Linked DNA regions of Kluyveromyces lactis. The protein of the gene in region 1 interacts with the protein of each later gene in a pairwise test. Links are inferred from orthologs where the notes say so. Each region holds a gene or a part of one and is shown on either strand. Other genes may lie near its edges. The genes, in order: EBP2, DRS1, RLP7, DBP9, RRP12, NSA2 and NUG1.

The links.
Region 2: the proteins of EBP2 (region 1) and DRS1 interact in binary tests that used the Saccharomyces cerevisiae proteins (3 or more experiments, as listed by UniProt). The link is inferred for Kluyveromyces lactis from reciprocal best matches to the Saccharomyces cerevisiae genes EBP2 and DRS1.
Region 3: the proteins of EBP2 (region 1) and RLP7 interact in a two-hybrid assay, tested with the Saccharomyces cerevisiae proteins (2 studies listed by BioGRID, with this or other methods). The link is inferred for Kluyveromyces lactis from reciprocal best matches to the Saccharomyces cerevisiae genes EBP2 and RLP7.
Region 4: the proteins of EBP2 (region 1) and DBP9 interact in binary tests that used the Saccharomyces cerevisiae proteins (3 or more experiments, as listed by UniProt). The link is inferred for Kluyveromyces lactis from reciprocal best matches to the Saccharomyces cerevisiae genes EBP2 and DBP9.
Region 5: the proteins of EBP2 (region 1) and RRP12 interact in binary tests that used the Saccharomyces cerevisiae proteins (3 or more experiments, as listed by UniProt). The link is inferred for Kluyveromyces lactis from reciprocal best matches to the Saccharomyces cerevisiae genes EBP2 and RRP12.
Region 6: the proteins of EBP2 (region 1) and NSA2 interact in binary tests that used the Saccharomyces cerevisiae proteins (3 or more experiments, as listed by UniProt). The link is inferred for Kluyveromyces lactis from reciprocal best matches to the Saccharomyces cerevisiae genes EBP2 and NSA2.
Region 7: the proteins of EBP2 (region 1) and NUG1 interact in binary tests that used the Saccharomyces cerevisiae proteins (3 or more experiments, as listed by UniProt). The link is inferred for Kluyveromyces lactis from reciprocal best matches to the Saccharomyces cerevisiae genes EBP2 and NUG1.

What each region holds. Positions count from the first base shown.
Region 1 is NC_006037.1:606,482-610,642, forward strand, and holds EBP2 (Ebp2p), read left to right. Parts: upstream 1-1,621; coding exon 1,622-2,893; downstream 2,894-4,161. Other genes in the region: U5 snRNP GTPase SNU114, read left to right, coding at 1-1,331; ERG20 (bifunctional (2E,6E)-farnesyl diphosphate synthase/dimethylallyltranstransferase), read left to right, coding at 3,229-4,161. UniProt on the Saccharomyces cerevisiae protein: Required for the processing of the 27S pre-rRNA. Probably involved in the step of the processing of the 27 SA precursor into the 27 SB intermediate.
Region 2 is NC_006042.1:1,453,009-1,458,106, reverse strand, and holds DRS1 (putative ATP-dependent RNA helicase), read right to left. Parts: upstream 3,373-5,098; coding exon 1,126-3,372; downstream 1-1,125. Other genes in the region: LMO1 (Lmo1p), read left to right, coding at 1-1,020; SYS1 (Sys1p), read left to right, coding at 3,932-4,525; CYR1 (adenylate cyclase), read right to left, coding at 4,656-5,098. UniProt on the Saccharomyces cerevisiae protein: ATP-binding RNA helicase involved in ribosome assembly.
Region 3 is NC_006040.1:418,005-421,624, forward strand, and holds RLP7 (Rlp7p), read left to right. Parts: upstream 1-1,430; coding exon 1,431-2,387; downstream 2,388-3,620. Other genes in the region: LEU2 (3-isopropylmalate dehydrogenase), read left to right, coding at 2,899-3,620. UniProt on the Saccharomyces cerevisiae protein: Involved in the biogenesis of the 60S ribosomal subunit. May act as a specificity factor that binds precursor rRNAs and tethers the enzymes that carry out the early 5' to 3' exonucleolytic reactions that generate the mature rRNAs.
Region 4 is NC_006039.1:416,393-420,824, reverse strand, and holds DBP9 (ATP-dependent DNA/RNA helicase), read left to right. Parts: upstream 1-1,823; coding exon 1,824-3,608; downstream 3,609-4,432. Other genes in the region: cleavage polyadenylation factor subunit YSH1, read left to right, coding at 1-1,234; PEX8 (Pex8p), read right to left, coding at 3,669-4,432.
Region 5 is NC_006042.1:2,518,918-2,524,073, reverse strand, and holds the start of RRP12 (mRNA-binding protein RRP12), read right to left. Parts: upstream 3,293-5,156; coding exon 1-3,292. Other genes in the region: MRPS16 (mitochondrial 37S ribosomal protein bS16m), read left to right, coding at 4,016-4,378; CIP1 (Cip1p), read right to left, coding at 4,904-5,156. UniProt on the Saccharomyces cerevisiae protein: In association with GSP1, required for nuclear export of both pre-40S and pre-60S ribosomal subunits. Required for the late maturation of the 18S and 5.8S rRNA of the pre-40S ribosomes and for maturation of the 25S and 5.8S rRNA of the pre-60S ribosomes.
Region 6 is NC_006041.1:1,204,615-1,208,258, forward strand, and holds NSA2 (rRNA-processing protein NSA2), read right to left. Parts: upstream 2,006-3,644; coding exon 1,220-2,005; downstream 1-1,219. Other genes in the region: small subunit rRNA maturation protein LCP5, read left to right, coding at 2,233-3,420. UniProt on the Saccharomyces cerevisiae protein: Involved in the biogenesis of the 60S ribosomal subunit. May play a part in the quality control of pre-60S particles. Under normal, rapid growth conditions, high levels of NSA2 would allow the progression of pre-60S particles through the ITS2 processing.
Region 7 is NC_006040.1:1,173,018-1,177,391, forward strand, and holds NUG1 (RNA-binding GTPase NUG1), read right to left. Parts: upstream 2,653-4,374; coding exon 1,060-2,652; downstream 1-1,059. Other genes in the region: PAC2 (Pac2p), read right to left, coding at 1-684; SUA7 (transcription factor TFIIB), read left to right, coding at 3,584-4,374. UniProt on the Saccharomyces cerevisiae protein: GTPase required for 60S ribosomal subunit export to the cytoplasm.

The DNA.
Region 1 (4,161 bases):
TAGCCTTAATGGGAGGTAGGTATGTCTACGAACTCGAGGAAGCAATAAAAGGACAGATTGTACTTTTAAAAGGTTTTGAAGATCAGTATACGAAATATGCAACTTTGTCTTCGAGCTTGATGAACCCGCTAGCACCAATTAACTATCTCAACGAATCGGTGTTCAAATTCGCCATACAGCCTCAGAAACCAAGTGAACTACCGAGACTATTGAACGGTCTTCAACAAGCAAACGAATTGTACCCTGCATTAGTGGTTAGAGTTGAAGAAAGCGGCGAAAACATCATAATTGGAACAGGAGAACTTTACCTTGATTGCGTGATGGACGAATTACGGAAAAAATTCTGTGAAATTGAGATCAAAGTAAGCCAACCGCTTGTGCAATTCACGGAAAGTTGTCAGAACGAATCGTTCGCGTCAATTCCTGTAAAGTCAAACAACGGTGTAGTATCACTCAGCGTTATGGCCGAAAAATTAGATGGAAAGATAGTACACGATTTGACGCATGGTGAAATCGACAGTTCAGAATTGAATAACATGAGAAAGTTCTCCAAACGTCTAAGAACCGAGTATGGATGGGACTCATTGGCAGCTAGAAACTGCTGGGATTTATCAAAATGTAATGTATTCATTGACGATACTCTACCTGATGAAACGGATAAGCAACTACTCAAGAAATATAAAGAAAACATTTTACAAGGGTTTGAATGGGCTGTGAAAGAAGGACCATTGGCTGATGAAACAATCCATGCATGCCAATTTAAACTCTTGCAATTCAAGGTACAAGAAGACAGCATCGAAGATATCATCCCATCTCAACTAGTGCCAATGACGAGAAAGGCATGTTACATTGCGCTAATGTCTGCTACTCCAATTATCATGGAACCCATCTATGAAGTCGATATTATCGTATCGGGGGTATTGGAGTCTGTGATTCAGAATTTATTGAAGAGACGCAGAGGTGGAAGAATTTACAAGACAGAAAAGATAGTGGCATCACCATTCATAGAAATAAAGGCTCAATTACCTGTCATCGAGTCGATTGGATTTGAGACAGATCTTCGTGTTGCGACCGCCGGTAGCGGAATGTGTCAAATGCACTTTTGGAATAAAATATGGAGAAAAGTGCCAGGTGACGTACTTGACGAAGAAGCCTTCATACCGAAGTTGAAACCAGCGCCTGCTGCAAGCCTAAGCAGGGACTTTGTGATGAAGACAAGACGTCGCAAGGGTTTATCTGAAAGTGGTCACATGACTCAAGACGGGCCATCATTAAAGAAATACATTGATCAAGATCTATTCAAGAAGTTGCAACAAAAACGATTTGTATAGGCTCCGCATAGAATTCGGTCACTGACGCATTAGTAGCTGCAAGTAACATATAGTATACTCAAACACACCCAGATAAATATATATATATATAAACCGTTAACTCTTGAATCTATATGTTAGAATGGTTATAAGTCTCGAGGCGTTTCTTTTTCTCAAAGCATCAAGGCTAAAAATTTTCCAATATAAAGAGATGAGATGAGATGAGATGGATGAGATGAGGCGCTGTAACTTGACGGGTGAGGGTTAGATCTTGTTCAATCTAAGGCATATAGGTACGCAAAACGGCAACAATGGTTAAAGGATTCAAGTTGAAGGAGCTTCTGCACCGTCGTAAGGCTATTGACCAAAGCGAACAGAAGGTAACATCCAAAAAGACCAAACAACCAAGTCCATCTAATGCTCAGGACGAGGAGCCAGTGATAGTCACCAAGGATGACTTGAGAGCTGATGAGGACGTTGAACCAGAAGTTGAATCAGAAGATGAAGAAGAGGGGGTAACCGGCGAGTACGAGAGCCACGCTTTGTCCAGAAAAGAGAAGAGAAAGTTGAAGAAGCTGTCCAAGAAGCAGCAAGCCGAGGAGCCTTCGAAGAAGGGAGAAGAAGAAGAGGAAGAAGAGCAGGAAGAAGAGCAGGAAGAAGAAGAAGAAGAAGAATCTGATAATGAGAGTGACGAAGAAGATCGTCTAGATCTTGAGAAGTTGGCAAACAGTGACTCTGATTCCGATTCTGATGAAGAAGAGGAAGAAGAAGAAGAAGAAGAAGAAGAAGAAGAAGAAGAAAAGGAAGAGGAAGAGGAAGAGGACGTTCCTCTATCTGATGTTGAAATTGACGAAGATGCCGATGTCGTTCCATACCAAAAAACTACCATCAATAACGTAAAAGCTATGAAGGATGCTCTAGAACGTATTCAAAAACCATGGGAAAAGCATTCATTCCAAGAACATCAATCCGTCACCTCTCAACTCAACACCGACGAAAAGATCAAGGACATCTACGATGACACTGAAAGAGAATTAGCATTTTACAAACAGTCTTTGGATGCTGTCACCATCGCCCGTGAAAAGCTAAAGAAATTGAAGGTCCCATTCAAGAGACCTTTAGATTATTTCGCCGAAATGGTTAAGAGTGATGAACATATGGACAGACTAAAGGGTAAATTGATAAAGGAGGCAAGTGAAAAGAAGGCCCGTCAAGAAGCTAGAAGACAAAGAGACTTAAAGAAATTCGGTAAACAAGTGCAAGTGGCTACTCTACAACAACGTCAAAAGGATAAGAGAGAAACACTCGATAAGATTAAGGACTTGAAGAAGAAGAGAAAGCACAACGAAATCGGCGGTGACGATTTCGATATCGGTGTCGAAGACGCCGCCCAATCGGAAAAGAAGCATAAACCAAATTTCAAGAGAGAAGCTAAGAATTCCAAATACGGTTCAGGTGGTTTGAAACGTTACAAGAGAAAGAACGATGCCCAATCCTCCGCTGAAATGCCAGAATTCTCCCAAAGAAAGATGAAGGGTAAGGCACCACGTCCAGGCAAGTCCAAGCGTTCAAGAAGACACTGAGAGTAACTAATAGAGGAGCAAGAACGTACATGTACAATAGCATTACCACCACGAGATACTTCTTCCTCCATAATGTATGTAAATTCATGTATACTGCAAGTATATGTATTACGTTAAAGAAATTTTTACCCGGACATGAATAATACAAACGTGATTTGACTATCTCGTTTAAAGCCGTTTCGAAATCACGAACTTTGGAACATTCCACCATACTGATTGCGTTGAAGTATATTAACAGGTTATGTACCATTCAGCTGAGTTCAGCAGGCAATTCAATTGAGGAACGTTCTACCATTGGTACCTGAAACGAATAGACAACGAACCTGATAGATAGAATGAGTGATAACAGAGCCCAGTTTTTGGAAGTGTTCCCATCATTAGTACAAGAGCTTAGAGACATCTTGGCCGGGTACGGTATGCCCGAAGAAGCCATCGAATGGTACGAAAAATCATTGAACTACAACACCCCAGGTGGTAAGTTGAACCGTGGTCTTTCTGTCGTTGACACATACGCGCTTTTGAAAGGTTACAAGTCAGTGAGCGAACTATCTGCAGAAGAGTACAAGAAGGTTGCCATCCTTGGTTGGTGTATTGAACTGTTGCAAGCGTACTTCTTGGTTGCTGATGACATGATGGACCAATCGATCACAAGAAGAGGACAACCATGTTGGTACAAAGTGGAAAACGTCGGCGACATTGCGATCAACGATGCATTCATGTTGGAAGGTGCCATCTACTGTCTGTTGAAGAAACACTTCAGAACAGAGCCATACTACGTCGATCTATTGGAATTGTTCCATGACGTTACTTTTCAAACCGAATTGGGTCAGTTGTTGGATTTGATCACTGCACCAGAGGACAAAGTCGACTTATCCAAGTTCTCTTTGGAAAAGCATTCCTTCATCGTTATCTTCAAGACTGCATACTACTCTTTCTACTTAGCAGTGGCACTGGCCATGTTTGCTGCCGGTATTACCGACTCAAAGGACTTGAAACAGGCCAGCGACGTATTGATCCCATTGGGAGAATATTTCCAAATCCAAGACGATTTCTTGGATTGTTTCGGTAAACCAGAAGATATCGGTAAGATTGGTACCGATATCCAAGACAACAAATGTTCTTGGGTCATCAACGTTGCATTGAAGAATGCTACAAAAGAACAAAGAGATATCTTGGACGAAAACTACGGTAGAAAGGATTCTGAAAAGGAACAAAAATGTAGAGCTGTATTCAACGAATTGAACATCCAAGACATCTACCACAAGTAC
Region 2 (5,098 bases), on another chromosome or scaffold:
GATTACTTCGAAATGTCAAACTTGAAATTAGGCTCAAAGGTTCACAAGATGCACTTCATATTTTTCACTAAAGAAATCATTGCCGTGCTTCTTGGTACTATGGTGACGCTATGGGATAAGTCCAGGAGTGAAACTGAAGAAGATTTTGAATCTTTGCTTGAACTTATTAAAATACTGATTCATAAGGCAGATAAGATATGCCGCACAAAACACGATTCTTTTGTTGAAACATTCGTTGAGGTATGTGAGACATTTACGTACGAAGATTTAAGACAGCTGCAGGTAGCAGAATGGAGAGAAAAACAGTTCAATGACTGGGCAGAAGATATTAGTAGCTTTGATGAGATTTTACAAAACCAAGTGCAGGAATTTGTACGCTACCAAAGACTTTTATTGATGCAGAAGGGTACATGGGTGTACTCAGAGAACCCAATTGAAGCAAAGGATAAATTACCAAAGGTTTCATTTATTGCATTATCAGATAATCAGATGAATTTATTGATAAAAGAATTCAAACATAAGGTGGAAAAGACACCCACTGTTGAAGATAATGAAATAGTGACCATCGATCACTCTGCCATGGTAAATAACAAAACTACTGTCATTCCGTTAAAGAATATTATAAACATTCAAAGTAGGCAAATTGAACTCGATAGAAAGCTTCCTGAAGGTGTTAGATTGATTAATATTCTTCAGAACACAATTTATAGAGAAGTTACCACCTTTGACAGAAACGGGAAAATTTTATCTGCATTTTACTTGGAGAGTACAGAGAGCTTCTACACCTGGTTGGATGGTTTACAATTATTATCACAAAGTAAACACGCCAAATTATCACCAGAAACTGAGAAACAAATCGATACATTAATAAAATTAAGAAGGAACGTCCAACTTGCTGCTCTTGATGATAAATTTAGAGATGATGAGTCACTGGAATCCTTCTCAGAGGAGGAAACGGATGACTTTTATTACAATCCAGAAACTCTAAAGCAACTCTCGATGGGTATATATTACGAATGAGAGTTGATGATTATGTAATAACACCTCAACTGCGTTTATGTAGTATATAATGAATTTTCATGCGCATTGATAATTAAGCCAAAACTAAGAACATAGGACAGTAATTTATTTCTTACCCTTCTTTCCCTTCTTTCCGTAGGCAGCTTGCTTCTTGCTGTATTGACGTTCCTGATATTCGACACGATCTTTTTGTGTCTTTTTATATAGCCGAGGATTCTCAGCCAATGCTTCTTGCTGTTTTCTCTTCTTACTGTTGATTGGCTTTTTGTTTTTTGCCAAAACTTGAAGCATTTTAGAGTTCTTCTTCTCAGCTTCTGATTGAAACCAGGTTCTTCTTGGCCTTGCACTGATTTCTTCCTTGTGTTTTAGCATGTTTTCACCTTTGCGAAGTTCCATTTCAGCTCTAAGTATCTCTTTCTCTTGCTTTTCTTCTTCAATAATCTCCTCTACAACATCACCCTTTGCTCCAATCAAGCTGTTGACTTGCTCGACTTGTGTCCAGTCAACGTTTCTACTCAAGGCCTTTCCACTTTCAGCGTTTTCTTCCACTGATCTGATCGCACTTCTGACAATACTTCTATCTTGAGATGATTCGCCTACAAAGGTTACTGAACGACCTTCTCTACCCGCTCTGGCAGTACGACCAACTCTGTGTAAGTAAATTTCGTAAGTTTTTGGCATATCGAAATTGATAACCACTTCAATTTTTGGAATATCTAAACCTCTCGAAGCTAAATCGGTACAGATTAAGACTGGTACTTGTAAGGATTTGAAGTTATTAACAGACTGTAGACGTTGTTCTTGGGTTAACGAACCATGCAATTCACCAACTTGCATACCCAATAACCCAAGGACGATTCTCAGTTTATGGGCAGTTTCTTTCCTAGCAACAAAAACTACTATTCTCTTCTGGCTTGTATTGTCCAACTTTCTAATCAATTGATATAATAATGCCGGTTTGAGATGATCTCTTTTACGTATACGGATGAACTCCTGTGTCAATTTATCTGCTGCTTGTTTTGGAGGATCAATCATAATCCTAACAGGCTTCTTTAGAGATAGCGAGATTAATTGCTTAATTTTTGAGTTCATTGTAGCAGAAAACAACAGAGTTTGTCTCTTACTTGGAATGAGAGACATGATTTCTTGTAGTTCCTCTTGGAAACCTTCTTCTAACATTCTATCAGCTTCGTCAATGACCAAGATTTCAACTGAATCAACGCTGAAACTCGCAGAATTTCTTAAATGATCGATAAATCTACCTGGTGTGGCAATTACGATATCAGGTCTGGTCTTCAATGCTTGTTCTTGTTGTCTTAAATTCAAACCACCGACGGCCAAACCAAACGTTAGTCCGTTAACAAACTTACCGATATTTTTACCAACATCAGCCACTTGAATAGCCAATTCACGGGTTGGAGTTAGTACAACAACCCTTGTTGATGCAATATGTGCAGGTTTGTACAACAAACGTTCGATGATAGGAATCATAAAAGCAGCTGTTTTACCAGAACCTGTAACAGCACCGGCAATGATATCTTTACCAAGAAGGGCAATAGGAATAGCAGCACTTTGAATTGGAGAAGGACTGGTGTATCCTAAACTTCCAAGCCCTTTCAACACAGGACGGGATAACGACAAGCTGTTGAAAGTTTTATGAACGATCTTTTTAGCATCCGCACTTTCCTCTTCTGGAGCATAAAATTCAGCCATTTCTTCTTTAGTGTCTTCTTCAATGTCTTCATCTTCGTCTTTTCCCTTACCTAAATCTGCCTGACTCATTTCGGTCTTTTTGTCGTCATCTTCGTCGTCATCCTCTTCTTCTTCATCCTCTTCATCTTCTTCATTTTCCTCTGTTGCCTTTCTCTTGACACCCATACCGAACCCATCCAAAGCTAATTCATCTTCATCATCACTCTCGCCAGGTTCGTCTCCTTCTTCTGGTTCTTCTTCGGACTCTTCTGATAGGCTTTCTTCGGCATCACTGCCTGTAGCAGCCATCATAATCAAACCACCTTTTCTTCTAATGATCCCATCTAGATCGACATCTTTTTTCTCAACTTCATCACTCTTCTCATCACCTTGGAAATCCCAGCCTGCAAAGTTGGTGGTAACTTCTCCGCTGTCAATGGAGAATTGGAATTCTGGATTCAAATCTTCATGGACATCTTCGTCCAAGTGAGATCCCTGTTGTTGCTTGGCCTTCTTTTTAGATTTGTTCTTAGTTTTTGAGGACTTCACTGGCTTCTTTTCCATTTCGTCATCAGAAGCATCTAAATCTGGAACATCTTCTTCGCTATCACTAATTGTAGGAACAAAATCATCGAATGATCTAAACTTCTTAACAGCCATATTAACGAATGCCGTATATCTCTTTATTTTCCACTTACCTTAATACTCAATCAAAGAACAACAAGAATTCTATTCTTTCTCGCAAAGTAGAAATGAGTGAAGAATAATAGCACTAGATAAATAGTATGTCACCTGTAGAAGTTATAATAAGGAACAATGAACAGTACTCACTGCTAAGTTATTCTAGTTGTCGTAGCTCATCTCAAGCTCATCTCATCGCCATTCCAGATGTGAAAAGCTTGAACATGGAAAATTTCTTTTGAGGAAAAACATATCGTCAAGTTAGGGTAACCACTGGTTGTCAACATGGAAACTAGTTCGGAATCTCTAAGCAACATATTAAATCCAAGATGAGTTGTGATTGAGACATGATTTGAGAGACTTGAAAATAAAGACAGAATTGAGTAGTTAGTCCTCTTTCGTTACTTATTGCATTCCTCCTATAATATTCGGTGAATTCTTTTGGTTGTTCGCACCAGTTATATTTGATAGAATTGAACTGTACCAAGTGCAGTTTTAGAAAGGCGACCGATTAGAGACATTTCAACCAATCAGGGAGATGGCTTCGCTTAGACGATACATGCGTGTTCCGAGAGAACTATTACCCACTGAAATCTTCAAACAAGAGTCTCAGTCCCCTGGTAAAATAATCGTTCAGATTATACTCTTGCAAATGTTCTATTATCTCACTGCATCAACTTTGTTTTATTGCTGGGCGAAAATATGTGGGTACGAAATAAAGCTAAAGCAATGGTTGTTTACATGGCAGGACATTGATTTCTCAAACTCTTTTGGTATTTCTTTATCAGCCCTTTGGTTAATTGATTCCTTGATTTGTGTCTTTTTTTTGACCATCATAGTGGGAAGGAGTAAACTCGCGTGGGATTTTGCCATTACAATCCATGCTATAAATCTAGTAGTAGTATGGACACACACAGGGCTATTCCCTTCACTAGCATGGTTTATCTTGCAATTTTTGTCTACACTGATATTGATTTTCCTTGGGACTTGGATTACCAGGTGGAGAGAGTTGAAAGACACATTTTTCGAAGGTATGGTGGATGACGATTCTGCACCTGCCAGTGCCAGCCAGCCAGCTTCTCAAGTTCCAGGGAAAAGCATCGAACTTAGAGATCTAGAAGCACAAAAATAAAAAGTTTTGCATGTTTATATACTTATGTAATGGAAATGTGTTATATTATTCTTGATGAAATCACGACAATTAATCAAAGGGTCCGAAACCATGAGACATTTTCGACGTAACAATAAAGAAATCAAGTCCTCTACTCCTCCGGAAAAGATTTGAAGCTTTGTTGCTCGCTCTCGTCATTATGGCTGTTTTCTATGTATAATTGGTTTCTGGCTAGAAGGTCATCCAGCAATTGGAAGATTGATTTCTGTTTCATTGCATCACCAGATTTGTATATGGTTAAACCACCCTGGACCTGTTGGCGTAAGTTCATTAAGACGACTGACGATTCAATTCGGGTGATTAAATGGTCAAGGAATGCAAGAAGATCTGCTTCGGACGAGTTTTTCATAACGGCCTGTTTGGTATTACTATCAAAGGTAGTATATCGTCCATTGGCAGAATTTTCCAGCCCGATAAGACCACCTTGGACTGAGGAGAGGACAGTCTCCAATCTATTGGACACTGATCTAATTTGGAATAGAAAATCATCTGAAATAACACTGTTATTCTGATCTTGTGTTGCCAAAGTGTGTC
Region 3 (3,620 bases), on another chromosome or scaffold:
TGTATTAATTATATGGTTGTATAATTTTTCAGTTTCTCGAGGATTCAATACTTTCACTATTAAATATGAAAGAAAAAAAAAAGGAATTTCGAAGCTCAAAGCATTCAAAGAGTCAGATTACAATTAAGAATCAAGAAAGTCGACTTTTGGGTTCAGCGCGGGTCCTGCAATGTTCATTCTGATAACCACTACTCGATTTTCATGCCGGTTTTTTTATCGTACTTGTCGTTTTGATAGAAAAGAAAAACATAAGACACTCGAAGTGATTTTTATTCCTTCGAGCGTGGACTTAGTCAGCCCGTAGTGGAAGTACATTTCCTACTGTTCACGCTGTAGCTCAACAAACGGCACAGTGTATTTACTATCTTCCTAGAATCACGTGAGCGAAGGGAAAAATATAACTTAAGAGTAGCATAATTCCAGTGCTGTCAGCGGTATCGCTCAGTGATTTGGAATTTAAATCGAGGAAAACGTCCTACAATTTAGGGACAGGCATGCGTTCACGGTTAAATCGTTCGAAATTTTTTCCGTCGTTCGAGCCGCCCCACTGGGATCTCTGTTGTAAGAAAAGACCGCCGATTTATGATAAAGGGCGGACTTTGCTCTGAGGTTCCTTCTCTGCCTTTTCAGCATTCTTCCTCTCGAGGGACCTTTTCCCATTTCTTTTTTTTCTTACTTGTTCTGTGTTGAGAACTTGAACCACAGTTGATCTCACGGTTGTTTCGAAACAGAGAGCGGCATAGATGGTACAAAGAATGGAGCCACGGCTGGTTTCGAAGGAAACACTGCTGTGGGCACACATTTCGAGACTCCTAAAGCCACCTCGAAAGCCAGTGTCAAAAGCCAAGATATAACGATTTCATGAGCTGATACGGAAAACTTTACTGCCGGTTAGAAGTGCTAGTTCCTGCAGCAGGTAGATAGGGGAAACTGCTTGAAAATTCGTCTCTGTATATACGATTCACATATAGACAGTCACAATTTGACTATTTGACTATTTAACTTGCTTCCCATTCTTTGGGTAACTTTCCGAAATGTTCCCATTTAATTCTGAAGAATCTTGCTGGGGTACACCATGCTGCAGCAACAGATCATCCCAGGTAAACGCCAACTTGCCAGTACCCTATTCGAGGTCAGCTTGTAATTGTAATTGTAATTGATCATCTACTTGTCTGAGTGTCAAACAGAAGATCTTGGTTTCACAGTTCACGTGACTGGAAGTGTTTCTTTTCGTTACAGAAAATTTTTTTGGCGAGGAAAAAAAAGTTCAGTGCGATGAGATGCGATGAGATGAAATTAAAGATTATGAATAAAGCTTTCAATGAGAGATGACCTTGGCTAATCTGAAGTATTAGGAGCATATAAGTTGTATTATATAGAGCTGGTTTGTGCTGAGATTAATAAACAGGGCAGTAATATAGAAGCAACAAATGTCACAACCATTGAACTCGAACCCAGAGGTTCTTTTAAGAAAGAGAAGAAATGCTGATCGTACTAGGTTGGAGAAGCAGGAGCTTGCCAAGAAGAGAAAGGAGCAAGAAGAGAAACAGAAACGTAGTAAGAAGAACAGATTTGTTAGAGCTGAGACGATAGTCGCCACAACTTTGGCTACTGAGAGAGAAAAGACCAGAATCAGAAGAGTCAGAGACTTAGAAAACCAAAAGGTCAAGAACGATTTGTCACATATCCCATCCGATAGGGATTTTATCTTGCGTATCTCTGAAAGAGAAGCCGGTAGTAAGGCTACATCCGAATCTGAGCTTCAAGATGTTGATGAGGAAGATGAAGAGGACGATGGGTTAATCAGGGAAAAAATCGTATACGATGGTGAGCCAAGCTTATTATTTGTTATAAGAGTGAAAGGACCCACAGCTGTGAAGATCCCAGCAAAGGCTTACAAAGTGTTATCTCTTTTGAGACTTGTTGAGTTGAACACTGGTGTTTTCATCAAACTTACCAAGGACGTGTACCCATTGTTGAAACTTGTATCACCATATATTGTTATCGGACAACCTTCACTTGCATCTATCCGTTCTTTAATCCAAAAGAGATCTAGAATAATGTGGCAAAGGCCAGAAGATAAAGAACCAAAAGAGATAATCTTGAATGACAACAATATCGTTGAAGAGAAATTAGGTGATGAAGGTGTCATTTGTATCGAGGATATCATCCATGAGATTTCGACGTTGGGCGAAAATTTCTCGAAATGTACTTTCTTCCTATTACCATTCAAATTGAACAGAGAAGTCAGTGGATTCGGTGCCATCTCCCGTTTGAATAAACTGAAAATGCGCGAACAAAACAAGAAGACTCGTCAAATTTCAAACGCTGCCACGGCTCCAGTTATCCAAGTAGATATCGACTCAATGATTTCCAAGTTGAATTGATTAACTATAAAAGGAAAATATCTGTACAATAGACATCGGGCTCCCATTGGCCCTACCCACATATGTAGAAATACATTACTCTATTCACTACTGCATTTAGTTATGTTTAACATTTGATATAGCAGACGCTACCGCCAGGCACAATATATTCCCCTTCCCTCTTGCCATTCGCTGTACTTGTGGTGGATTCCAATTCAGCGCAGTCACGTGCTAGTAATCACCGCATTTTTTTCTTTTCCTTTCAGGCTAAAACCGGTTCCGGGCCTGATCCCTGCACTCATTTTCTAACGGAAAACCTTCAGAAGCATAACTACCCATTCCAGTTTAGAGTCATGACAGGTTCAACATCAGATGCTTCATATACTTTTATATATTGAATTATATAAATATATCTATGTACTCTAAGTAAGTACATCTGCTTTAACGCATTCCTACATTTGCTTCGATTTATTTTTATTGTTGATACCTATTTGAAGAAGTAAAAAGTATCCCACACTACACAGATTATACCATGTCTAAGAATATCGTTGTCCTACCGGGTGATCACGTCGGTAAAGAAGTTACTGACGAAGCTATTAAGGTCTTGAATGCCATTGCTGAAGTCCGTCCAGAAATTAAGTTCAATTTCCAACATCACTTGATCGGGGGTGCTGCCATCGATGCCACTGGCACTCCTTTACCAGATGAAGCTCTAGAAGCCTCTAAGAAAGCCGATGCTGTCTTACTAGGTGCTGTTGGTGGTCCAAAATGGGGTACGGGCGCAGTTAGACCAGAACAAGGTCTATTGAAGATCAGAAAGGAATTGGGTCTATACGCCAACTTGAGACCATGTAACTTTGCTTCTGATTCTTTACTAGATCTTTCTCCTTTGAAGCCTGAATATGCAAAGGGTACCGATTTCGTCGTCGTTAGAGAATTGGTTGGTGGTATCTACTTTGGTGAAAGAAAAGAAGATGAAGGTGACGGAGTTGCTTGGGACTCTGAGAAATACAGTGTTCCTGAAGTTCAAAGAATTACAAGAATGGCTGCTTTCTTGGCATTGCAACAAAACCCACCATTACCAATCTGGTCTCTTGACAAGGCTAACGTGCTTGCCTCTTCCAGATTGTGGAGAAAGACTGTTGAAGAAACCATCAAGACTGAGTTCCCACAATTAACTGTTCAGCACCAATTGATCGACTCTGCTGCTATGATTTTGGTTAAATCACCAACTAAGCTAAACGGTGTTGTTAT
Region 4 (4,432 bases), on another chromosome or scaffold:
TTTAGAAAAATGGTGTCCAGAAGAAAAAAATCTGGTTCTTGTCACTGGTTATTCTGTAGAAGGTACAATGGCAAAATATTTGTTACTAGAACCTGAGGCTATTCCCTCGGTACACAACCCTGAGATAACTATCCCAAGACGTTGCCAAGTGGATGAAATAACATTCGCTGCTCATGTTGACTTTAGGGAAAATTTAGAATTTATCGAGCTAATTGGAGCTAGCAACATCATTTTAGTTCATGGCGAATCCAACCCAATGGGTCGTTTAAAATCAGCCCTTCTTTCTAATTTCAGCTCTCTCAAGGATACTGAAAACGAGGTTCATGTTTTCAATCCTAGAAATTGTGTCTTTGTTGATATTGAGTTCAAGGATGTTAAGGTTGCCAGGGCAGTTGGGAAAATTATTGAAGATCTCGATGAGTTTATAACTGAAGAAGACGCACTAAAGAATGAGAAAAGAATCACGGAAATCCATGAAGAGGATCCAGAAACAGAGGAAAGTAAAACGGAAATTGTCAAAGAAGAAAATGAGAAAATAGTTTCAGGTATATTGGTGTCAGATGAGAAGAATTTTGATCTAAGTTTAGTTTCGCTTTCAGATTTAAGAGAACATTATCAACAATTATCTACTACAGTTTTGACAGAAAGACAGACAGTCCACTTGGACTGTAAAAGCGAACTAGTATATTGGCATATCTGCCAAATGTTTGGTGACGTAGATGTATACATTGACGAAGAAAACGTCTCATTGAAGAACATCAATCCCGAATTCAAGACGAGGAAGATAAAGAAGGGTGAACTAGAAATAAAAATCATGGGAGATGTAATATTAAATATAGTTGACAATGTAGCTACATTGCAATGGACTCAGAATGTTATCAGTGATTCAGTCGCGGATAGTGTCATGGCAATTCTACTGAGTGTCGAGAGCGCTCCAGCAAGTATCAAAATGAGTTCGAAGTCATGTGGACATCATCATGGACACGATGATCACACGACTAAAATTAAGAACATATCGAGAGTTTTCAAGGAACAGTTTGGTGATACTTTTACATTATTTTTGAATGAGGAAGACTCCAAAGAAGAAATAAAAGGCACTATCAACTTAGGAAAAACAACAGCATGTATAAACTTCTCAAAAATGGTTGTGGAAGAATGTAACTCTAATCCATTGAAAGGTAGAATAGAGAGTTTATTAAAAATTGGCTCCGACTTGGTGGCCCCATTGTGTTAATCTGTCTCATATATAGATATGATTATATATGAGCTAGTCATTAATCATCTTTTTGCATTAACTATATACTTTTCAACCCTATACTGCCATCTTGCCAAGGTGTTCCTCTGTACTAAATAATCTATTAAAACTTTAAAGATGCATTCAAGTTTCAATTAACTGAATGAACATATCGTTTTCGACAAGTTACAAAAGACACCAAGAGGACAAAAAACCATTTACTAAACTACTAAACGCGATATATATATATATATTCTCATTATAACAGTAAATTTTAAATCAATCTACCAATACCATGGCAAAATCAGAGCTACAGTGAGGTATTTCATTCACATTGCCAATCCAGAAGAGACAAGATAACTCAATCACGTGACTCATAAATCCTTTTGCCTGTGTAGTTTCTTTTTGCACCTCAAGAAAATTTTTGGGAAGCTCATCTCATCTCATCCAGAGTCTGAACGTACAAGAGCTGTAAAACAGGCTAAATGGGTCTCAACTATCAGCAGCATTAACCTTTTGATCGAAACTTACAACCGAGGTTATAGTTAAAGTGTTCGACGAGAGCTAGAGTCCAGAAAAACGCTTCAATATGGCTCAAACAAGCGCTTCCCAGGGATACATTGATGATTCTTCTTCTTTCGATTCGTTCCACTTGGATTCACGTTTATCACAAGCCATCCGCAGTATCGGCTTCAAACACCCTACTTTGATCCAATCCAGTGCGATACCATTAGCTCTTCAAGAGAAAAGGGATATCATAGCGAAAGCTAGTACCGGCTCTGGTAAAACTTTAGCATATTTGATACCAGTGATTCAAACAATTTTAGATCATAAGAAGGCAGATCAGAATGATGAAGGTGCCACTCTAGGGGTAATATTGGTCCCAACTAGAGAATTGGCTCAGCAAGTTTTAGAAGTTGTTGAAAAGCTCATTGTTTTCTGTTCTCAAGAAATTAAATGCTTAAATCTTTCATCGGGTAATGTATCGGGAAACTTATTGAAATCTTTACTTACCGAAAATCCAGAAATATTGATAGCTACGCCGGCCAAGTTAGTAGATTTACTAGATGCGCAAGATGTTAATATTGACAGGTTGAAGTTCTTGGTTATCGATGAAGTTGATTTGGTGTTAACTTTCGGATACCAAGAGGACCTTACGAAGATTTCAGAACGCTTACCATTGAGAAAGAGTTTACAAACTTTCTTGATGAGTGCCACTCTAAATGACGATATCCAACACTTGAAGCAGCAATTCTGCCGTTCACCAGCGATTTTGAAACTTAATGACGACGAAGTCAACAAAGATCAAACAAAGCTTATTCAATATTATGTGAAGGTTGGAGAATTTGATAAGTTCCTATTGTGTTATGTGATTTTCAAACTGGGACTAATTAAGGGTAAGACATTAATCTTCGTTAACAATATCGATAGAGGATACAGACTAAAGCTAGTTTTAGAACAGTTTGGTATTAAATCTTGCATTTTGAACAGTGAACTGCCAGCAAATTCAAGACAGCATATCGTAGAAGAATTCAACAAGAACGTTTATCAACTGTTAATAGCTACAGACGATACTGAATATATCAAAGAAGAAGACGAAGACTTAGAATCAGAAAAAACTGAGGATGGTTTAGTTGAGGTTGTCGATGATTCCACTGTTACTACGAAAGACAATGCAAAGAAACAAAAGAAGCCAAAGCTAAACGTGGAGAAAGACAAAGAATATGGTGTATCTCGCGGTGTGGACTTCAAAAATGTTGCCTGTGTATTAAACTTTGATCTACCAACCACTGCAAAATCGTATGTACATAGAATTGGTAGAACAGCTCGTGCAGGGAAGTCAGGAATTTCTATTTCTTTTGTTGTTCCTTTGAAGGAATTCGGGAAGCATAAACCATCTATGATCAAGAGTGCTAAGAAGGATGAAAAGATACTAGGCAGAATTATAAAACAACAGGCTAAATTAGGCTTTGAACTACAGCCTTACAACTTTGATATCAAACAGGTCGAAGGTTTCCGTTATAGAATGGAAGACGGTTTCCGTGCAGTAACTCAGGTTGCTATTAGAGAGGCAAGGATAAAGGAGTTAAAACAGGAACTTTTGGCAAGTGAGAAACTAAAGAGACATTTTGAAGAGAATCCTCATGACTTAGAGAGTTTGAGACATGACAAGGAGTTACATCCTGCTCGTGTACAACAGCATTTAAAAAGAGTTCCGGACTATCTTTTACCAGAAACTGCTAGGAAAGATAATAAGAAGATCGGTTTCGTTCCATTCCACAAAAATTCGCATAGAAAGAACGGAAGAGTGGTTAAGAAGAAGGGGAATGTCCAAAGAAAGGGTAAATCTGATCCTTTGAAAAGCTTCAAATAGATATTCAATTAATTACGACCAGCCTATTTAACATTAGCACTAGGAATATATAAGTATAGATCAAATTCTTGATAAATTTGGAACTATCCTATCATACCACCATCTAATTGCTAGTTCATTGTGAGAATGTGATATATACTCCCATAATTTAGTAATGATATGTTCTTTCATTAGAGGCGGAAGAGTTCGGGCTAATTCGTTACATGCATCTAACCAATCCCATAAGTATTCATCAGGCACATTGTGGAATTGTTCTATGAGACATTGTATGCTAGTGGATTTCATTTGTAAATTTTCAGTGTTGATTATTCTAATATAGGTCGAATGAATTAGATCCCGGATTAAGTCATTGTCATAATTAGAAAGATATCTTATAGTTGGAAGTATGCTTTTCCAAATTACAATTAATTGTTTTTCTGTCATTAAAGATGCACTGCATTGTCTGAAACAATCATGTAAGTATAGCCTCAATCTTTTGAGTTTAAAGTTTGTGACATCTGCTTTCCAGGTTTCATTATTAAACACTTCAAGCCATACAAGATGTGCGCTTTCCCGAAGTTTAACATCGGAAGAATCGAGGTATGGTCGAACAAGAGGTTCAATTCTTTCTTCAAGATAGCATGCGTCAGGTATCTTCAATTCTGCCAAATTGAGTTGCAAATACTCCAAGATGAACATCAGCTTGGAGTGATAAATCTTATTATCCATATTAAATTGCATTTTAGAAATCATTTCTTTTAGTATCTGATCGAAGATATCGAAGTCCTGACAAATCCTGCCACATACGGAATATATGAGCTCCTGATATTTGGTAAATCCATCTA
Region 5 (5,156 bases), on another chromosome or scaffold:
AGGAAATATGCGCCAATGTTTGAGAGTCCAATAAATCTAATGGGGTCTCCTTCGACTCGACAATGAATTGTTTAGAACCCTTCTTTCTTCTATCAGATTTTGTATTGTTTTTGTCTTCATCTTCACTCTCTTCTTCAGAAGAATATAGAGCTTCATCAAGGGCGGACATGAATCTAGACGACTTATTTGAAGGAGCAGCTTGCGCTGGCGCTTCTTCTTCGCCTTCATCTCGTTTACGAATACTTCTGTTACGAGACTTTCTGATATTGGCAAGCAATCTCAAGTCTTCTTCTGGGAATATTGACTCAATATAATCGTATCCAAATCTCCTAATCAATCTTTCTATGATGTGCTTAACCTTTGCCTTGAAATGGCCAGTATGTTCATGAGACCAACGTAATAATTTAGGAAGTAATTCTGGAACTTTAGGCTTCATGACTTCATCATTGAGACCTAAACAGCAAACTTTTGCAAAACCAATCGCACTTTTGACAATCTCTCTTGAATTAGAGGTTAAATATAGTTCGATTGTGTCATAAATTTCTAAGAGAACATCAACATCAACTTTATCTTTAAACTCGAAAACCAAACAAGAATATGCGGTGATTGTTGCGCTTACCATATGTTGCGATTCCCCAATTAAACCAGCTGAAATAATTCTGAAAAATTCAGCAACGGAAGAGGGTTGGTCTGGAGTGTTGGGGTCATAATTTGGAATGCAGGAAAGTTTGATAACACCCTCTGAACTATCCATTTTGTTAGCCATTTGGATAAGAATTTCAAAAGCCGTCTCACGGGATTTTTCGTTGACATCTTTGGTACACAATATGACTTCTGCCACAACCTGAACAATAAATCCTAGTTGAGTAGGTGGAAGTAAATTTACGAGAGTTCTAATTGCCGCCAACCTTGCTGATTTAGAGGAAGTGTGAACAGTTGATGCGCTGTTCAACATGACATTTTCAATATCAGATATGAAATTCGTGATGGCATCGGAACCTTCTTCGATTTCTGAAAGTTTATGAATAATACGGTATGCTCTCTTTTGGAATAATGCATTTTCTGAGTTGACGATGGAATTGAAAATAGCAAAGAGGGCACCATATGAGGAAGGTGGAACATATTTTACCATCGCGATAACTAAATCGAGCAAAGTAGCAGACATTTCATTGTTGTTCTTTTTAGCTTCTTCTTGAAGAGCAGTATTCAAGAGCCCACATACATTATTAAATGTTTGTGCAAGGTCTTCTTTCTTTGTTATTTGCAGATAAGAATCAATTGTCTCAAGGATATATCCTCTGGCGTTTGGAGCGGTTTGAGTATAAACATTGAAGAGCACCGCTAACATATTAGAAGATTTGGTAGACAAGTATTCTAAACTGTTCGTAGCACTTTCTATGGAAAAGTGTTGCAAAAGAAGCGAATCTGTAGTTGAGTTTTTTTGATATACTAGATTACTTTCGACGAGATTTCTTAGAGCACGACAAATAGTCGTTCTAAGTTCAACGTGGGAATATAACAAACCAGACAATTCAGCAGCCACCTCATCAGAAAAAGCTTCAGTCAAATCGGTTGGCAAATCACAGAATGGTGGCAATAAAGACCAGATTTGATCTACAACAGTTTGATATACCTTTAACTGAACAGATTCTTTACCAAATTTATCGAATTGAGATTCGAAATGTTTGATAAGAGGTAAAAACTCTTTGAAAAATGTATTTAACGTAGAATTCTGGATGGAGTCTCTTAATATTGGTAACAACCAGGCCCTTCCCGGTTTTGATGTAGATGGACTAATTAAATTTAGTGGTAAACATCCTAGTACAGCATCTACACCAATAGCTTCTATAGCCCCACCGATAACGTTTTCTGCCTCGGATCTCAAGTCCAAGAAGTTTTGTTCATCTGTTCTCCAACTGCCTACAATCTCTAGAGGTTTGATAAAATCTGGATTGGCTCTATATTTCAACTTTTTGAAAGTAGCCGTCAAAACATTTAACACTGCCTTAGCACAATGTGTGTATTTAATAGATAATAGATCCACAAATATCTCAGACAACTCTTGAATAACTTCATCAACTGCTTCAAAGTGCTCAGCGGAAACGGAAGGTGGATACAACAAAATTTCTGATTTGATTGCGTCAGTGACAATAGCGATTAAACATTGTGCTGCGCTAAAGTAGATATCTGGAATCTCACTTGATAGGTAAAATGATAAAGTTCTGAAAACTTCAGGAATCTTAACAAAACACTTTAATGGATCGTGAATCGCATATGTGCTGATACCTTTAGCGACGACTGCAATCCAGGCTGCTGCCAAATGTGTATCATTTTGGGATGGTTTTAATGAAAAAATGACATCAAGGGCTTTCATGAATTTATTCTCCGCTAAGCCAGATGAGACTGAAGACTCGGCCATAGACTGGAATAGAACCTCAAAACAGTTAAAAGAATTAGATACCAAAAATTGGTCCGAGGTTTTACAAACTTCCAATAGCAGATCACAGAGTTTTTCCACATGCGCAGTTGGCCATTGATTTGTTGATATTATATTGCTCAAAAGTTTCAAAATATGAATGATTTTGGAGTTCAATTCACTTGCACCTCCCATTGCTCTTAGCTTCTTATTGGAAATCGTTGCAGATTCATCAAGGATGGATACCAATGCATTAATAGCGAATGCTGAGATCAAAGGTGATGCGACGTGTTCTGCTGTTGGACCAGGTGGAGGGTTTTTTAGAATGTTGGTAATTGCATCCTGTGCTCTCTTCCTTACTTTTGGTCTTGGATCTAGAGATAGCTCAAGTAGACCATCCAAACCTCTTGTTGGAGTCACCTTTAAATTTTGAGTGTTATTCCACGTTTGCGTATCCTGGGCAATTAACAAAGCTTCTAAACAACCAAGAGCGGATTTGATCAAAGGAGCGTTAGCCTTTTCATCAGTAATACATGGGGCAACTTTAATCAAAATATCAGCAAACCTGCTCTTTAATATTTTCTTTGGTGTATAATGAAAAATGATGTCCAACAAATACATCGTTGATGTTGCTAATTGTAGATCTTTAATGGCCGCAGTTTCTGTATCGATAGTTTGATCCAGCAAGGACATCAAAGAAATAAGATAATTCACGATGTTCTTATTAATTGCCTCTTGCTCATTAATATTTTCTTCAATAGCAGCCAAGATTATGGCAATGTGCTTCTGATTCTCTAGTTTTGATGTAGATTGTCCTCTGATTTTAGCAAGCTTATCTTCAAGTTCAAGAAGCTTGGACGCTTGTTCAGGACCCATATTGCACAATTTGTTCGCTTGTCAGTTTTCAATCCCAAGTTAAACTCAGTAATTCTCTTTTCTGAGGTGTTGTTGATTATAACTCGTCTCTACTTGTTAGATGAGATGAGCGATGAGATGAGCTAGATTGAAAATTTTATACAGCTTGTGAAAAATTTCTTTTTAAGCCCTTAGTGATGAAGCAGCAAGGATCGTGAGGCAATGAAGAAAGCAGAGAATAAAAAGTAAATAAATTTTGGTTAATATATGCCAACTCTGTATATATGCGTCTGCTAAACGGGTTCAAGAACATACTATTTCATTATTTGTGTCGTTAACTTTCTTTACTGAATGCGATGTTATTTGTAATGCCAAGTCGTTTTATATGACTGCATTTTTGGTAAACTAATTCCCACCGTCAGTCTAACTCCAGTAAATAAACACTTTCTCACTTATAGATACTTTCTCATAGATCAACTTCCTATACTATTAGGCTGTAATGTCGCCATAAACGCCTAAGACGAATGTTGCTCATACGGCTGTTAGATATCCCACCTATATCACGTGATAGACATGCTTTATTTAGTTGGTGTTGAAAATCCTTCGAAAGATAGAAAAAAAAATTCAATCAACATTAAAAGCGTAATAACAGGACAAACATATTATGTATCAAGACGACCAGAGCGAGTAAACCAAGTCTCTTAAACCAGAATTTAACGCCAAGTTTGGTGAAATACAATAATCATGACGAAAGGTTTGGTGAGGATAAGACTAGCTAGATTCGGAAGGAAACATACCCCAGTATACAACATAGTTGTTACCAACAAACATAAGGCGTTGAATAGGAAACCAATTGAAGTATTAGGAACATACAACCCAATCCCAAAACCATTAACGAAGAAAGAGGTTAAACAAGGTGTTGTTCCTACTAAAGATGTGGAATTAGACTTCGGAAGAGCTAAATACTGGATCGGTGTTGGTGCTCAACCTAGTGATACGGTAACAAGACTATTGAGAAAAGCTGGAATCCTGGATGAAAATTGGGGAAAGACCTACACAAGTAGTAGGGTTGTTATTGAACCTAGGAAAGAAGTCTTTGAAGAATAGACCAGCTGTTCCGATTACTGTATTAAAAGCGGTATATCAATAATCAGGGCATAAATCACCATCTCCCAAGGCTTTCTTACGGTCAAGAACTCATGTATATAGGCTTAAATTGATAAGAGGAATTCGGGCACTTTTTCCGGTCATAAACCAATGTAGTAGTTACATACACTTAACAGCTTGGCCCCATGCGGTAAAATTGAAGTGATTAAATTTACATATCACCATATATAAGATGCTATCAGGTAATTCTACACAATAATAATAATCGTCATCAGCATATATTTCCCTGAATGAGGGAAGTATCATCGAGGAATACTGACTGTTAAACTATGTGATTTCCGAAAATTCATAAATATTAACAAAATTACAAGAACAAAAAGATGGTTTATGTTATGTTTTTGTGAATGAGTGAGTGAATGTCTAACTTCTCAAGTATTTAATAGGTATGTTTGGTGTAATGTTCAGGTTTGTATTGGAGATTAGTGCTCATGATGTTACATCGAGTCAAATTGTGTTCCAGTGCAACTATAAATTGGATTCATTTTCTATATGTGTGGGTAATCTATTGTTTCGTTCATCAGGCTGTTGACCAGCAGCAGCAGTATTTGTAGCATTTGAAGTTGAGTTCAAAAGAGTATTTACGCTTGCGGTTGATTGTGCTAGGAAAGATGATTGGGATGGGATAGAATTTGTTGGAGTAAGAAAGAAATGAGCATTACTAGAGGATCTTGACCTTGTTAGATTGGGAAGAGCAGGTGGCTGTACACCACTAATAGTA
Region 6 (3,644 bases), on another chromosome or scaffold:
TGATTCTCTCTATTCTTATACGATTCTGATTCTTCCATACTATTCGAGGGATAATGAAAAATAATACTCAAGAAATACGTAGACGCCCGCGTAGGAAATATCTGCTTTCCTATTGCCCTGCCTAGCCAGACCGGGGGCGCCGCCCGCGGTCTAGGCAGATCAGATGAGCGTAGACAGGAATTTGAGAAAAATGATTCAGGGAAAACCAGGGTTGCTCACGTGCCGGACAATCTGTCTGGACAGACATTTTTCACGATCGAAATAGCTGTTAGGCAGAGAAGTCCACCGTGGCCAGGATTATTGTCCGGCACTTCTAAATCAGGACGAGAATGTGAATCAAAAAGAGGGTTGGATTGAGCGAAGAGGCTGGATCAAAGGTACTGTAGTCACCTGCAACAGTTCTAATATGAGAATCTGTATAGTGCTACTTTCAGTATCACTATAACAGTAATTTAAACGAGACTCAAGTTGGATCATTAATTGGCAAAAGCTTTCTGTAGATGCAGAACAGGGGGAAAGAAGGTAAAGGTTAATGGGTAAAGGGGCTGTCCGTTAGGACAAATTTCAATACATACTGGTGGGGTTTGGAAAAAGCACTGATTGCTTACGGATCAGTTTCTGTGGTGAAAACTAGAACGTAGATCCAGAAATCAATTTGATCTGGGGAACTACTTCGTTTCCAGTGGGATCAATGATGTTCTTTTCCTGAACAACGTCGACGCTAGTATCTGTATATGGACCAGTGCTAGAATCTGACCTAATAAGTGCTGTTTTGAAGGTAAGTTTGTGTATATCAAGCGCAAAGAATGTGTATGTATAATACTGAATATATATATATATATAGATAAAATTATTTGGTATGATTTGGTAGGGTAGTACCCTACTTTATTGTGAAACAATAAAGATGAATACTTAGGGTAACCTGAGGGTCCAGAAGGTCAATTGACACGACGTGTGAGTAGCAATTAGTTCAATGCATTGGAATAGCTGGTATCTCAACGGCAGCGAGGCATGAAATTGTCAGTCTCATTGGCTATAATTCAGTATTTAACGCTAAATATATGATTAAATAATGATGATTTAGCCAGTACTTTCTAATAAGGGAACTCAGTTCTAAAATGAAATAGTAATATACAATAACGTAGCGGAGTGGGGGGTGATGCAATAGGGAATAATTGAGATGAGTAGGAATTTTGGTAGTAATAGGTTGTACTTGTTCTTACACAAGTAGCACAGCGTTGACACAACCGTCTCTATCTGGCTCATTCGTGATTTGAGCATATTTACCCCAAACCACTTTACCACCAGAAGTAACCATACCTAATTCCGAGACGTTCACTTCAATAATAGTACCCTTGGTTAATACACCCAACTGTGTGTACATTGGCGATTGAGGATTCTTCTTCACCGCAAGAATTGGCAAGAAAACGGTGACTCCAAGTTCCGGATGCGTCACATTAGCCTTCTTTTGTCTCAAAGCACTAGGTCTGATAATCCTTTCCATCTTCACAGGCCTTCTTGTAAACCCTTCACCAACAAACGTATGTTTCGTGATCATTCTCTTCCATGCCTTAGACTTAGACTTACCTGTCTTAACAACTTTGAACATCTCTTCCTCACTGATACCTCTGACCTTAGGCAAAGGAACAGAAAACTTGTCAGCCTTCTCCAAACGCTTCTGCTTGATGGAACTGGATATAGCCTTTGCAGTGTTGTTCTGTTCTCTGTCTAACAAATAAGTAGGCAAAGCCTCCCCGTTCTCATCCAACGGTTTGGACCCTCCTTTAACTTTACTCTGCTCATGAGCACGGATCTTCTTCTTCATAGCAACCTTCTCAGCATAACGCTTCTTAGCAAATTGCTTACCCTTCCAACCAGTCAATTTCTGAGCCTTTTCAGAGATCTTATGAGCCTCACGGGCTTCTCTCTTACGTTTTCTCTCATCGTGGTCTAATCTACGACCATGTTGCTTGATGTGCTGTTCGATATATTCGTTTTGAGGCATCTTTGTTTTATTGTAAGAACGACTTGTTCGGTGATGACTTACTTCTAAATCACAAACGGACACACGGACTCCTTGAATGGACTTCTTACCACATGTTAACCCATGCGATGAGCTAGTTGTTCAAGTTGTCTTTGTATGCTTTTCTCATTGAAAGAAAAAAATTCAATAGGAAATGTCGAAAAGAAACGTAGTGAAAAAAAAAATTTGGAATCAAGCGATGAGATGAGATGAGATGGGTATCAGCCAGATACAAGTTTGGTTGTCTGGTGTGGGTTTGGCATAGGTTCGATCTACTGTTATTGATGTATAAAACCTCATTACATTCTATTGACAAGGGTTACAGCGGAAATATAGCCATGTCTGAGGAGTTAGGAACTGTTTTGAAAACGATTAGAGATTCTTTGAAATCTTGTGGAGAAAGCTTGGATAAGTTAGAAGAAGTCTATGATGATGAGGAGACCCATCCTTTCCAAGGTTCAGCGGTGGTAGGTCACAAAGGTGATAAATTAGAAAAAGTTTCTCTACTTTCTTTGAAGAATGGGAGTATGCTATCGTATTTGAATTCGCTTCTGTTGGTATTGGGACAGAAATTGAATAAAGAGATGGTTGTTGATGAGGGTAGAGTCAGGGCAGTGGAACAACGAGTTGTTCTTGAAAGAGGTGTGAAGCCCTTGGAGAAGAAGTTAGGGTACCAGCTGGATAAATTGACGCGGGCGTACATTAGACTGGAGAAAGACGTTGAAGAATCCAAGAAAAGAGCCGAATTGCAGGGACTGAGTGACGTACGTGCTTCCCAGGAAGAAGTATCAGACTCAGATTCTGATAGTGAAGAAGAGATGCAATATAGGCCGAACAGTTCAGGAATGGTCAATAACACATCAGTTGGAGGGAAAGCCAAGGGGAAAATCGCTGTCAAGAGTACTCACAATGAAGAAGATGTGGATGATAAAGATAACGTTTATAGACCACCTAAGATCAGTGCCGTTCTGCCACCAAAGCAACATCACTTCGAGGATAAATTCAACGCACAAGAACATAAGGATAAGAGTAGCAGGTCTCGTATGCAAGCTATGGAAGAATACTTGAAGGATTCCTCGGAACAACCGGAATGGGAAACTTCTATCGGTGCCAATATCGTCAACCATGGTAGAGGTGGTGTGAAGACAGCAAGAGATACAGAACGTGAACGTGATGTTCAAAGATTCGAAGAAGAAAATTTCACTAGATTGAACCCCAACGGATCCAAGACTGACAAGAGAATGAAAAAACAAAGAGAAATCATGGCCAAGGTTAATATGATCGCCGGTGAAGATTTCAGTATCTTCAACTCCAAGCGTAAGTTGGAGGATAGTACAAGCAGAAGAGGTAATAAGAAATCTAGAAATGCTTGGGAAAGAGCCAAGAAGAAGTTGTAAACCTGAGGTCCTTCTTTTTCTATGTATAAATAGGCTAAAATATCCATACGTCTCTATTGTCATCATATAGTGTCAAATACGTAGTTTATAAATCGAATGATAACGGTGTTGCACTGCTCAAACTCTAGCTTTGATGTGGTTTGTTTCGTTTCGTTTTGTCTCGTTTTCTTCATATCAAGGTGTAATCACCAATAATTAATTAATACAATCTAAGCGTTCCAACT
Region 7 (4,374 bases), on another chromosome or scaffold:
AGCCTCTATTATTGTCTCTATATCTCCATTTCGGAGCTTACAACATGCCATTGATAGTTCTTTGACATTGGAAAATTCAAACTGTTCACTGGAATCCGCTTCTAACTTCGTGAAACAGTTCCCACTCAATATAACAGTCTCGACAGATGGAAATAGTCGCAGTATGCGGTACACCTCATTTATGTCAGAAAACAGATTGAAGGATAAATCAAGGTATCGCAGAGAAGAATGAGCACTATTAAACGGAATGCTCGAACAGGTTGTCTTGAAAGCTCGGAAAATGTTGTTTTCTGATAGCGTGATACTTTCCAACTTGTCAAAATCAGAGTTCATTTCATTCAAATGCTCAAATCCATATGACTCAGTCTCTTTCGACCCAAATTTGTAGGTAATATCGATTGATGAAGTATCACCGTATTTCATCAATAATGCACCTTCAAACGATGTTCTCTCTTGCCGAGATGTATCTAGTTTAGTCTCCTTCACAAATGAGCCACTGCTCTGTCCATCGGATGTTCTGAAGTATCGTACTCCGTTTAACGTTCCATCATGTTTACCTCTTTGCTTGTTGTCCCACTCTAAACCATATGCAACGATATTAGGCCATTCTGGCAATGATCCGATGTATCGTACTGTGCAAAACTCACCTCCTATATTCAATCTATCATTGACATTGATCTGCATATTTGGCCCTAGATTTAGTCACGCTGTACACATAGTGTAGCCTGGAGTTCGTATGGTAGACTCACGGATTATTTCTCTTCTTCACTCTTTTAAACATTTTGATTTTAGTAGGCATTTAAAGTATTATTTAAAGGTTTGTTACCTAAAGAAAAGAGATGACAAAAACGTCTTGCCGAAGAAGATATTAAATCATTTATATGTAGTAGTGTACAAATGTGTATTGTCTATTAGGTGCGTGGACTGAAACGGGTGTTCAAATTCACATCCTAATACATAAGCTTTTAAATCTATAGCTTTAACGATGCGAAATAAAATAAGCAATAGGATCCTTGATCGTATTTCATAGAGATGCAGAATAATTCGTTTTCTGTGTTCTCAATTACCTAAGTTGTCTTGTTCAGCTTCAATGGCGTTATCCAATGACGCGAAAAGACCATCCAAATCGAATTCCTTGGACCATTCTTGAACAATGGTCGTTTGTTCCACCTTAGCTGGTGCTGCGACAGCACCAGTACCTAGAGTTGGTTGGTTAGCTTCACCAGATGTAGCAGCATGTTCTGCAGCAGATTCCTTAGAAGCATTGGGTAGAACCCATCCTAGGATCTTACCATCTCTCCAATCGTTAAGAACGGATATACCAGCGCTGGCCAAGTTTGGAACACCGCCCTTACCTAATCTACCTCTCTTACGGGCGATATGGATCAAGAATTGTTTGGTGAAAGAGTCTGCATCGGCAGCTGGGATAGGTGGTAATTCGTACAACTTCTTGAAACTTTCAGTCATTTCTTCAGATTTAGAAAGTCTCTTCACTAATTTGAGCACAGCTGGGTAAGGATCTATGATGAATTTTGGAGGTAGAGCGTTCAACAAGGCCAACTCTGCTTCTTGTTCCACTCTACTCATCTTTTTATTTTCACTTGGGAAACAAATACCTGGAGAATCCAAGATCTTTAGCTTGTTATCTACCTTGACTTCTCTCATAGATGTAGTGACACCAGCTTGGTTACCCACTGGACATGCTTTAGAAGAACCACCACGGCGAGAGGTCAATGCGTTAATGACAGACGACTTACCGACGTTTGGATAACCGATGACACCAACAACGATGGATCTCTTCAAGTTTGAATTATTGGAGTAAGTCTTCAAAGCTTCTAACAAGCTTGAAGCAGTTGTAGCCTGAGTCAAAGTCCTGTTGAAAGATGTGGAGTTAGTGGCACCAGGAGCAGCTCTCAATGGAATAGTAGGGAACGAGGATTTCAAAAAGGTTAACCATTGTTGCAACACGTATGGTGGCACTAAATCGATCTTGTTCAAGATCAAAATTAGTCTCTTACCCTGGGATTGAAGCACGGCCTGTTCCACTCTTCTCGATCTAGTTCCTTCTGGATCTCTTGCATCTAGCACGTAAAGGATAACATCGGACGCATCCACCACAGTCTTGAATATCTTATCGTAAGCCTTTCTAGACTTTTCTAATTCAGAATCATCATCATCTGCGTCAGCGTAAAAGTCTACGTCGTATTCAGCAACCTCTAAATCCTCTTGCTCTCCATTCATTGTATCATCGATACCTTCCCCATTGTACTCCTTTGCAGCTTGCTGAGCGGATTCTAACAAAGCAGAAAGACCATTGTTGCCGTCGTTTTCATCTTCATCCATAGATTCATCGTCATCACCAACATCTTCACCTAGTTCACGAGTTCTTCTCTTAGCCTCTAACCTTTCCTGCTTTCTACGTTCTTTCTCCTCCAAATCAGTTCTTCTCTTCGCTTCAATCTCTTCGATGATCCTGTTCTTGTACGGGAAATTGGCCGGAATACCTGGATCCTTACTCTTATTGGATTTCCATGTCACATCCTTCTTAGCAAGTTTCCGCTCTTTCCTATGTTGAGCAGCAGCCTTCTTCTTGATACCCTCCTTCATACGAGTGGAAGTTCTCTTGGAAGTTCTCTTTCTTACTCTCACCATCTCTTTTGATTAATGGAAAAAGGTATATTTACTGCACTGGATTATAGATATCTTAGCTGTTCCGGTGAACTTATCACGGAAAACAGTACTGAAACATCTACTTGAACAGGTGTTCTGTAAATATCAAGTCTCATCTCATCTCATCTCATCTCATCGCAGGTTTTAACATATTTCGAAGAGCTGAAAAATTTCAAAGTAGAAAAGAATTTCTTTTTGCTGGCGGACGACAGTGGAAACACAGTGGATACTCGTCAATTACGAGGCAATCTTATGCTACTCGCAAGCCATAATTTGTGTCAATAATATTTGGGACGTATTTGGTATATCTATGAGCACTTCCAGGCAGATATTTAACATTATATATACAGTAATACCGTCAAGGGCAGTGAAACTGTCAGTACATATAAAGGCAGCCCAGTAGCCGTTGCGCAGTTTTTTTTGACACTAGCAGGGAACAAAAATCATCTCAGTAATAAGAACTGATATAACGTGATATACGATACGAAGTTGCGAGGGTGGAACTTGTTTTACCACATCTCTCATCCTCTCTACTTCCAGTCAGTGTAGTAATAACTGCGAAGTTATTACTTGTTACCCGGATCTCGTGAAAATTTTCATCAACCGTAAACAAGAGACATGCCACGGTTGTTTCTGTGGCGTTTATCACGTGATATATATTTCCGTCGAGTTTCCAGCATTTTTGCTTAGAAATTGAGAAACTAAAATGATAAGGAGCTATCCAGTTGCAACTTACACAGTCTTGTCCGTCTACTAGTTGGTTAATCGGTATTTCTTCTGTTCTTTTATAACAAAAGCAGCGCCTAAGTTTAGTTATCTTAGCGGCTCATCATTCGACTTCTTACCGTTCAGTTTCCAGCTATTTTTTTAGGCTGTTCTGAGTCATATACCGAGGCAAGAGAAAAGAGAAACTATGTCATTGCCAGCAGCAGCTTCAGCAAATGTAGCTGTCTCATCTAGAAGGAGGGGGCCAAATTTGAACATTGTTATATCGTGTCCCGAATGTAAAGTTTATCCTCCGAAAGTTGTGGAACGGTTTAGTGAAGGTGATATCGTCTGTGCATTATGTGGGTTAGTCTTATCGGATAGAATTGTGGATACCAGGTCAGAATGGCGTACTTTTAGCAATGACGATCAGAATGGAGACGATCCAAGTCGTGTTGGTGAAGCTTCAAATCCTTTGTTGGATGGAAACCATTTAACCACACGTATCGGGCAGGCCCAGGGAAGTGATGCTAGAGTTACTAGGGATTTGAATAGGGCTCAGTCGAAATCTATCGTTGACAAGAAGGATAACGAGTTGCAAGCTGCATATGCGAAGATTACTATGATGTGTGATGCTGCAGAACTGCCCAAGATTGTTAAAGATTGTGCTAAAGAAGCTTATAAATTATGCTTCGAAGAGAGAGTCTTGAAGGGGAAATCACAGGAAAGTATCATGGCTTCAGTTATTCTTGTCGGATGTCGGAGAGCAGAGGTCGGGAGATCTTTCAAGGAAATCTTATCCTTGACTAACGTGCGGAAGAAGGAAATCGGGAAGACGTTTACCATCATCAAGAACATTCTAAGAGAAAAGAATGATAGAGGGTTTGCCAATATTGATACTTCAAATATCACCACAGGACAGACAAGTGCAGAGACTTTCATCCCTAGATTTTGTTCTCATTTGGGCCTTTCAGTGCAGGTGGCTAATGCTGCAGAGTA